2 linked regions of the Drosophila melanogaster genome follow. The protein of the gene in region 1 purifies or fractionates together with the protein of each later gene. This does not show direct contact. Each region holds a gene or a part of one and is shown in the gene's direction. Other genes may lie near its edges. The genes, in order: Bdp1 and Pbp49.

Region 1 (5,190 bases):
TCATCAAAGTGGCACTCATGTTAAGAGCAAAACTTCCACCTATTGCACACTTGCTCTGATGTTCAATGGTTTCGATTTCTCTCGCCTGAATTTTAAAGCCGATCGAAGGGATGAACATAAGATGGAACTGGGCTTTCGGATGGTTTGATACGTGGCTCTGTTGGGCAGGGAGGTCTCATGGGAGCGGGAGCAGCCAGGTATATAATGGTAAAGGAGTTAACGACCTGCTTCGGGTTTACTATTGACCTTGCGCCGGCTCAAACTGCCCAACCAACTGCCGCGTTGCTCATTAGCCGTATATTCGTCATTGATAAGCGCGAATCCGTGAAACATGTCCTTCATCTTGATGGCCCGTGAGCAGGCGTAGTTCTTGGTGGCCACGTACATCTTGGTGAGGAACTCGGGCATTTGTTTCTGAGTAACCCAGGACTTAATATTCTGCGGTATGGGTATGCCCGGATCGTCGAAGTACGTGAGGACAAAGTGGAGGCCTGGCTCATGGAAACCGCGAAAGGGCTTGATGACCATCAGGCTCCAATAGTCAGTGACGCGAACTTTTCCAGACAACGCCGGATAGGTGTTGTGCGTGGCTCCGCGGTTGCAAATGAATATCAGCTTCTTGTTGTCGTCTTTTATGTAGCGGCGACAATAGACGTAGTCGCGATTGGCGAACAGTCGTGGCCACTGCATCTCCCAGTATATCAGATGCGAGTTGCTGCCCGGGACGGGATCCTCGCTGATGAGCTCAAGTCTTAGGGCCGTGTCGTCCCACTGGCGACGGTAATCCAAATCCGTTTGAACGTGGAGGAAGTCGTCCGCTGTGATGTCGTCGAATCGAGCATAAACCTGCAAACGGAAAGGCGGCATAAAAGTGAGCCCTAAAAAACTTTTAGATGGCCTCTTACCTTGTATGAGTATAAGGAGGAGCGCTCCTGCCGCCGCCAAATGCTGAATTCGTTTTTGCTAAAGTACGGCTCCCATTTTTGGTCGTCCTGGGCCTGAATGCGTACCGTTCCGGCCGGTGCATTGCGCACGTCCAGATCCAACGGTCGCAGACAATTGCTGATGCTGGTGTCCGGATCCGTCTCCGCCTCTTTGCTGGTGGACGGCTGGGATTGGCCCTTTTTGCAGCGCTGGTTGCCCAGCTGACAGTAGCAGTATTTCATCTTCTTGGCCTGGCAGCGGTCGCACAGCTGATTGTTGGGCAGGGCGTTGATAAACTCAATATCCCGGCGGCACAGATCAAAGTTGGACAAGGCCAGGCGCTCCTTGTTCCAATCGAAGCCATCGCTACCCATTCGCTTGATATTCAGCCCGACGAGACCCACTGCACTCATCACCATTCCCCGCAGCGGAGGCTGCAGCTCCCGGCGGTAGTAGGCGCGCCATAGCTGCTTCAGACCCTGAGTTCCATACACCGACTGGTAGAAACTGAACAACTGCTGAACGCGACGCGAGCGCTGGGCGAAAATCGACTCGCATTGGTAGCTCCAGGCACGCAGCGTTTCTCGGGACTGGTTCTTGATGGCCAGTACAAATCGATTGAACAGCATGCCGGCTAATTCAATTTGTCCGTCGGCCGCCCGCTTGCATAACAACCTACTCAAAAGTGCGGCGACTTCTTAATGCTCCTTCGCTATTACTGTGCCCCCGCACACTTGGCACATTTGTCGCCAGAAAACTTTGGGAATTTAGTACTTCTAGCCAGGACACACCCGATAGGTTTGCCGGAAGCGTTACTGCACGAGAGCTTGGTTAGGATCTGGGCGGACTTATCATGTTTGCCCGATTAGAAAAAACGTGCAACTTGCAATTTGTCTGCTGCTTCTGTTGTTATTCCGCTGTTGTTGTTCCTGTTGTTGTGCCGTTACAGGCAGCAGTGTTGGAAAATCGCAAACCGCCTGCTGAGAGGTGACAGCTACGATCAGTGATCACACTTTTCTGCAACACTGAAACACAAATAATATTAAATTCAACCAAACTTTTACTGTGTACAAATTTTTGACGTGAATCTGGTGAAGTGTGCCATAATTTATACCAATTTATTTTTGACACTGCGAATAAATTTACTTGACATGCTTTCTAATAACGCAGTTATCTCGTTTTTTTTTTATTTGTTAAAAAATCTTTTGGGTACTGCAAGTTTTTTATAGCCATTTTGAAACTTTAAATAAATTGGTTGTCTACTTTCTTACATGGCCAGGACACTGTGAATGCTCTTTGGCGTTAGCCAACACTATACTTGGGAAACTCGTGGTTGCGGCCGCATTGTTTTTGTTGCGCAGATTTTGATTCGATTTGATGTGTGAAACTGCGGTTGAGCCTGGAAGAAGCCTAAGAGTACCCAGGCAGGATGTCCATGCGGCGCCAGCGCATCAAGGCTCCGGCCAACCTGTCGCTTATCAAACGCAAGCCACGCAGGGAGGAGCTCCCAACGGCGAAAAAGGAGGATGAGGAGGAGGAGGCGGTGGTGGTGGAAGCAGAGGCTGAGTCCCCGCCCGTTGCATCGACCCCTGCTGCGGAATTGGAACTAGAGGCTGATGCAATCGCCTTCAAGATGCCCGCAAGCTCGGCTGGGCAGCTGGAAGAGGTATTCCACTCGGACCTCGAGGACAATGTCATTCAGATGGACTTGCAGAAGACCACCAATGGCTTCCCTATGTCGCCCAGCAAGGCTCAAGCCCGTCAGCGTGTGCGACCCACTCCGGTATTTGGCCAGCGACGCAACAGCTTCGTGGGCTCACCCATGGCCAGTGATTATGAGGGCGACTATCAGTCGCCAGCCACGCCCACGCGGCGAGAGCGCTATCTTAGCGGTTCTTCATCGGGAACTCCTTTGCAGCAGCAGGTGCACTCGCCTATGCCTCCGTCCCCCTATAAATACCTACCGCCCGCTAGTCCGGGCATGGGACGCATTCGCACCGAATCCACCTGTTCCACCTATTCCGAAGGAGGTAGCAAGCAGAGGAAGGGCGACGATAGGTCGCAAAGTCAAATTGGACAGCGGTTAAATGCCCGGCGAGACTTTGAAACCCGTTTCAATAAGGGTGTACCCGACAAGTCCACGTTCAAGATGATGGACATGATCTTCTACAATCCGGAGAACAATCCCATGGTGCCCAAACAGTCGGTGACGACCATCAAGGATGAGTCTGGTGGCGATGATTCCAAGCCCGCAGTCAGTCAACTATTGGAACCCAAGGGAGAGTCCACATCCGCTATGTTAGTGCCTCAGCTAAAGCTTGATGCCAATGGCGAGATGATCATTGATGAGAAAACATTGGAGATCGAAACCACGGCCGAGGTGGAGGCCCGCAAGGTGCTAGCCAACTCATCGTTAATCCTAATGGACGAGACTACGGGTGCGCCGCAGAGTTAATACATAAAAGTTGAATACTTAACGAATTTTATACTTTGCAGGAGATAATGGATTCTATAAACGCCACAAGCGCACGCCATACTGGACCTCCGATGAGACCGTCCGCTTCTACCGCAGCCTGCAGATCATTGGGACGGACTTCTCGCTGATGTGCCAAATGTTTCCAACACGTTCACGTCGGGATCTAAAGCTGAAGTACAAAAAGGAAGAGCGAACCAATGGGCAGCTCATAAACAAAGCACTCCTCTATCCTAAGGCCTTCAACATTCAGGAGCTCAAGGATCAACTGGAAGAGGAGGACCGCGAAAGGGAAGAAAATGATCGCAAGTGGAGGGAAATCGCACGAGCTCTTCCGGGAAACCCTAAGAAGGTAAATAATTTGTAGCTGACTGTAATCACCATTACATTTTTTAATTATATTTAGCGTTCCCGAGTACAGCAGCAAAGCAAGGCCTCAAGGGCACTAAACGATGGTGATGTTGTCTACGAAAACGAGCACGTAACGAGTACAAAGCTCGGCAAGCACGCCTGGGCCAAAAGGCGAAAGGAGTTGGAGACCGATGAGAACGACGGAAGTGCGCCGGCCAAACGTAAGCCAAAGGCTAAGCGACGATCTCCCAAGGTTTCAGTTCCAGCGGCAACGGAAAGCCTGTCTGATGTGGCGGCCATTAAGCAGGAAAAAACGATCAAAACCGAACAAACGAGTAGTCATTTGCCAACGGGGGGAGAACTGCAGGCTGAGCTCAATGGCCTCCTCATGGATGATCCGGTGGAATATGACGTAGATGTAAACAAGCCACGTGATAAAACTATTATCAATATGGATGATGGTACCCTAAGCTATGTCAGCGACGTCGAACCCGCCCCAGAGACGCCCAATCGAAAGGCAGAGACATATTTAATAAACTTCATTGAAGACCAAGATCATGAACTTATAACGCCGGATGACCCCATTCCGCCGTCCACTACCGAACCGGATATCGAACAAATTCTCGCCGAGCTTGCGGAAGGATCTCTGGCTCTCGTCTCGTCCTTGGATCCAGAGCACGAGGATCGTGTGCTCAACGAAATCTACATGCTGGACAAAAAAACGGGCGAGTTGTGCGAAACGCCTCTGAAAATACCAGAGCATATTGTTCAATGCATAATGAATGTTATGCAGCCAGAGGACTAACGACATTTTATATTTATATCTTAAGAGTATTTGTTAACAGTTATAATTTATTAAAGCATTTCGCTAGATGTATTTACAAAATTACTTTCTTGTTCCTCGCAAATTCAAAGGGAATTGCAAAAAATGCAAAAATGGGACTGACTTTCTTGGTTTCTTTAACTATTCCTAAAAAAAATTGTAATTAATATACAATTATAACAGATTTGTCAAAATAGTCTTATTTTATAAATAAAATAGGGTAGCAAGAAGGCTTTTAAGCATTAAAAGTGTTTGGTTATAGGTATCTACTCTAGACAGGATCATTTCGATTTCTTGCAATAACAAAAGCTTGTATAAAATGCAAAGATAGCCATTGCTTTTGTATAGAAAATTTAAATCAAATATATAAATATTTTTTGAATTTCCATTCATTTCAGAGTTGCCGTTCTCTAAAATTATTTTTCGCTTCGCAACACATATTTTCAGGCGCAGGGCTTTAGAGCACTGGACTTTTGACAGCTGTTGTTGTTGTTGCCTCGGCTGCGGTAGCAAATTAATACAATTTAACCAATATAGTAAAAAACGATGGCCCAAGTTCCCTTGGCAATCGTCTCGCACAAGCGCCAGGTGTGCAGCCTGTACAAGCGAGCACTGCGCA
Region 2 (4,567 bases), on another chromosome or scaffold:
AAACGGCATTTTCTAACAACTTAAATTTAACATAAAAAGACGTCCTCATTGGTTTTATAAATTTTAAGAAAAAAAATGTATCAAAATATAAGAGATAGATATCGGATTACTTTATGTAACCGACATAAATCGGACGCAACCCACACATATAAAATTTCAACTATCAATTATTTTCAGTTCGAAATTGTCAACTTACCTTACTAGGGATTTTAATAAAACAATAATCAGTAAGGAGCGTAGTAATTGGCGCGACCACGGTAACCCCTTCTGGAACGAAAGACAGACCGGGATTAGCTCGATCCAATCGGGATTTTCCAGAGCCCACTTACATAGCTCTTCGGGCGCCTCGGAAGGTGGAGTGACAGCACGCCCGGGAGACACGGGCTCCTCGACCCCGGAAGCTGCCGCGTGCGAAACGGTTTGTGGTGGAGAGTCCAGGGCGGTTTGTGCGCTTCGACATTACCTGAAAGTCAATAGATTAAGCTAAAGTCAACTCTAAATATGTGCTTTCAAAATTGCGCTACGTAGGAGTCCCTAGGACTCATTCTATCCACATATGTACATGAGAGTTTGATAGGTAGCAGGACTAGCAAAAAGTGCTTCAGATACTCACCTTTATTTGACGCCCTCGGAAGAGGGTTTCGTTCATGGCCAATGCCGTCTCGACAAACTCCTTGGAACCAAACTCAATGTATGCGAATCCCTTGGGGTGCCCGTCAGCCTTGTTGCAGAGTATGGTTACTCGGTTGATTGTGCCGCATCCGTGGAAGTGGGCCTCCAGTTCCTCGGCCGATGCGCCGTAGTCCACATTGCCCACGTAGACGGACCGCGTGTCGATTTCCTGCTTCTCCTCAAGAGAAAGCGGGACTGTGGCCAAGCCGGTGGTAGACCCACCGGCCATTTGTTTGTCCACCTCCGACTGCATCTGCTTTATCTTCTCGGCCTCCTCTTCCATCTCCTTGACTCGAGCCTTTATGGCCTCCAGTTCCGGGTCGATTTGCATGCTGCCCTCCTCCTGGCGACGAGGAAAATATGAAATTTAGTGGTATTTGATTTGGAGCGATGAGCAAACGCCCGAAACCACAGCAGACAATGGAATGGAGTGGCGGTGCGAAGTGACGCTCTGAAAATGGCAGCCATTGCTGCGGTTTTCGGCTTTGTATATCCCCCAAAGCTTTGCGAGCTTTTCCAGGGAATTCGGCGGGCTTTCGCAAGGCGTGAGGCCAAGAAACTGGTTCTTGGGCACTGTCTACAAGGGCAACCCCAACTCACCTCGACCTCTGTGGCGATCTCAGTCTCTTGCTCCCCGTTCGTCTCCTCCAATGACTCCAGGAGCTGATCCTCGTTCAATGTGATATCTTCATCGGCCATTGCTTTGGATTTGGGTTTGTTTACGTCTGCTACAAAAGCTCGGTTTTGTTGGCGCAAAAGCTTCCGGCGTGGTACTCAAAACGGCAGTTGTCGTAACTATGTATGTATGGTAGCTGTCAATGAGAAAAGGGCGGCGAAAGTGAGCATAAAGAGCGTAAAACATTAAGAGCGCGAATGAAGAGTTCATCATGCAAATGCAGTGAAAATCCAAGCCATAAGTAAATAAATTCAGGCTGCGGACACCGAAATGTCTAGGTTTCACTGCGTTCGCACTACTACACTGATATTTAATTAAACACACTGTACTTACGTTTAATAAATGTACAAATTACGAGCTCGTTCTGCTGACGTTGAGTTCGCCCAAAATGGCTGCCCTGTGAAAACACACGTACGCTGGGTTGCTGGGTTGCTGTTTTTCGTTCAAAAGTCTACGTTTTTAAACCCTTTTCGACTTTGTTTCGCGCCACACCACGTCAGCATAAATATTTATTTATAAGCTTATTTATTTATTATTTACTAATATTTACAACTATACGAAAACGTACGTAGTTTTTGACACAAATTGAAACAGATTTGTGTTCGCCTCGTTTTTACCGATGACAGTTTTCGCCTCGATAGTTTCGATGGTTTGGTGGTGGGTTTACCTATCGATAACTGCCGGTATTTAAGAAAGCAGTTCTTTGGATGATAAAAATAATAGTATTTTCACACCACAATGCCATTTTAAATTTACCATAGGAAGGAAAGAAGAGGAATGTGCACGCACATTTCTAACAAGGTTTTGTAAATGGGAATCAGACAAATTATTGTTTAAGGAAGTCATATATTGCGAAATAACGCCATCATTCAACCATCAATCAGGGCCCATGCATAACGATAAAAGGAGAACATGAACGATTCCTCCGATTCGGAGTACGAGGACACAGAGTACCTGGTATTTGCGGATTTCAAGAACCACATTCATCCGCACCAGCTGAAGCACGAGGACGCGGCCATTAAGATCATCGGAATCGAGAGTGACACGCCCATGGCCGAGGTAAATGGAAGCATTTATCGGGGACGCTACGAACATTCCGTGGGAACCAACGTGTTCTTTGAGAAGGAAAAAGACAATCTGGCAAGTGATCCGCTTTTTGAGTCAGTGTGTCGCCAGCGGTACCAGTACGTGGACAAATCCACCAAGGTGATATCTTTTGAAAGGGTCTACGTGGACAATTTGCACCAGGAGGTGGAGAAGTCGGCTGAGACTGAAGAGGACGATCAGACCGAGCCAAAGCCAGAATCTCTGAAGCTAAATATAACTTACAAGGAGGCTATTAACAAGTTTGGAGAAGATCATTGAGTGTGGAGAACTGAGTCTAATCCTGAACAAAAAACACTCTTTCAAGACATACCTCTTAGTACCATGGATACCACCTATATTACAACGAATCCAGCTTTAAGCCTGCGAGACTTTCTAGCCGACTATCAAAAGAAAATATCCGGTACTGCAGACGAAGTGCCCTTCTTTCTCCAAAAAAACCCAGTACTTGTCGACGTGTCTGAAAGCTGTTCCCTGGACTTGATCGAGTCCCCAGACGACAGCTCGATTGCAGTCTTCCAGCCCGCCGCAGACAAATGCCGCCCAACCTTTTCTCCGCCGCAGGAGAACCAGCATGTGCCCTCCACTTTTACTGCTCTAAGCCAGCACAAGGACAAGTCCCGTAAGTGTCCCTTTGGCCGCACCCAGTACAGCCACAAACTGAATCCGACGCCGACAGACTCGCCTAACCTGCACATCGATGCTTGCGGCGAACTGGAGCTAACCGTGCGTCTATATCGACCACCGCGGGCCTACCATCGCGGGTTTAAGGTGGAGATTCCCGTTTTCGCCGAGGAGTTCGTATGTCTGGGCAGCAATTATCTGACCGAGCTGCGGGACAAGATCAGCTGCGTTTGCAATGGAAAACGGTTTGTCGACATCAGCGACGATCCAGATGCACCGTTGCCATCCATTGACACAAATCCCGGTTACTTCTTCATCAACGACACATTCTACAACGACCAGCGCAATCCGGACAATCCCGACTATTCCAAGACCGTCTTGCAGTGGGCTGCCAGAGCGAACGGAGTGAACGGAGAAACGCTTAAGGTGGAGAGTATGGAGGGCAAAAGATTCATCGATCTCACTGTCAGCCCCGGATCACCGCTACACTACCTGCACCACGGCAATTGCGAACACCTGTTTGTGATCTCCCAGGTAGAGGTGCTAACGCCACTTAGTAAACGGCCAGATCGCAGCCTGTATCCCTATCCTCACGCCTTCAGTACGTTTAATCGCAGGACTTGCTATATGTGCGGCATTCGCAGCTATAGCTTCATCGTGAACCAGTCCCGGCGACAGCTGCACGATCCCTCCTACCTGTGCCGCAGATGTTTTCTCAGCTTCTTTTACGTGGATGGTGTCAAGCTGGGCCAGTTCAAAGCCTATCGCATGTATGACCATGTAGAGCTGGAGGGCGAAGAGGAGGACATTAAACAGCAAAATCTCCCCTCCTGAATATACATATACATTTGTGTGATTTTTTCTTTATTTGCGAGCTCCTTTGACTGCAAGATCGCTCAAGGAGTTGATTGATATTTTGTTCTTGTAAAATATTCATAGATAGATTTAAATAAAATACATACACGTTGCAACAAGAGTAATTGGCATTGAACGTATTCGATTGCCGTAAAGCTGCCTAAATTCCATGCAATCTAGATTAGCAAAAAGTTAGTGTCCAAGTTAGGAATACAAAAATGCAAACAACGTAAATAGTACGATACATCTGGCTTAGAACTTACGTTAATACATATATGCAGTAGTTCAATGTTTAAAAATTTGCTTAAGGATTTGCACACTGTGGTGCAGAGTATAGACTTGACCAGGACCCATATAAAACAAACCAATAGACTAAATATGGCAAATAACATAATACATTATCCTAGACAAGATACTAGTACTAACCGTACTTAGCAGTACAATACAGTAAAATTCTGTGCACTGGGATTCCGGCGTGCACGTGAAGAGAGACTGTGCGCTTAGTTACTGGGGCGTAGAAATGCATCAACAACATATTGCCAATCCGACCAACAAATATCATTACGAACAACTGCAGGCTGGGATTCCATTCGCCCGGACCTCTTTGGTGTACGCGCTTGCGTTTACTTCAGTGTT

What was found.
Region 2: the proteins of Bdp1 (region 1) and Pbp49 fractionate together in Drosophila melanogaster (co-fractionation; one study listed by BioGRID). This does not show direct contact.

The regions. Positions count from the first base shown.
Region 1 is NT_033779.5:13,370,867-13,376,056, reverse strand, and holds Bdp1 (B double prime 1), read left to right. Parts: upstream 1-2,232; 5' UTR 2,233-2,353; coding exon 2,354-3,362; intron 3,363-3,420; coding exon 3,421-3,749; intron 3,750-3,803; coding exon 3,804-4,553; 3' UTR 4,554-4,630; downstream 4,631-5,190. Other genes in the region: CG6565 (uncharacterized protein), read right to left, coding at 217-846, 906-1,553; ND-B22 (NADH dehydrogenase (ubiquinone) B22 subunit), read left to right, coding at 5,118-5,190.
Region 2 is NT_033778.4:8,128,838-8,133,404, reverse strand, and holds Pbp49 (PSEA-binding protein 49kD), read left to right. Parts: upstream 1-2,081; 5' UTR 2,082-2,149; exon of another isoform or gene 2,150-2,232; 5' UTR 2,233-2,260; coding exon of another isoform or gene 2,261-2,713; 5' UTR 2,714-2,776; coding exon 2,777-3,910; 3' UTR 3,911-4,051; downstream 4,052-4,567. Other genes in the region: Pabp2, read right to left, coding at 225-264, 330-463, 614-1,015, 1,273-1,371; CG42516 (uncharacterized protein), read left to right, coding at 2,261-2,713.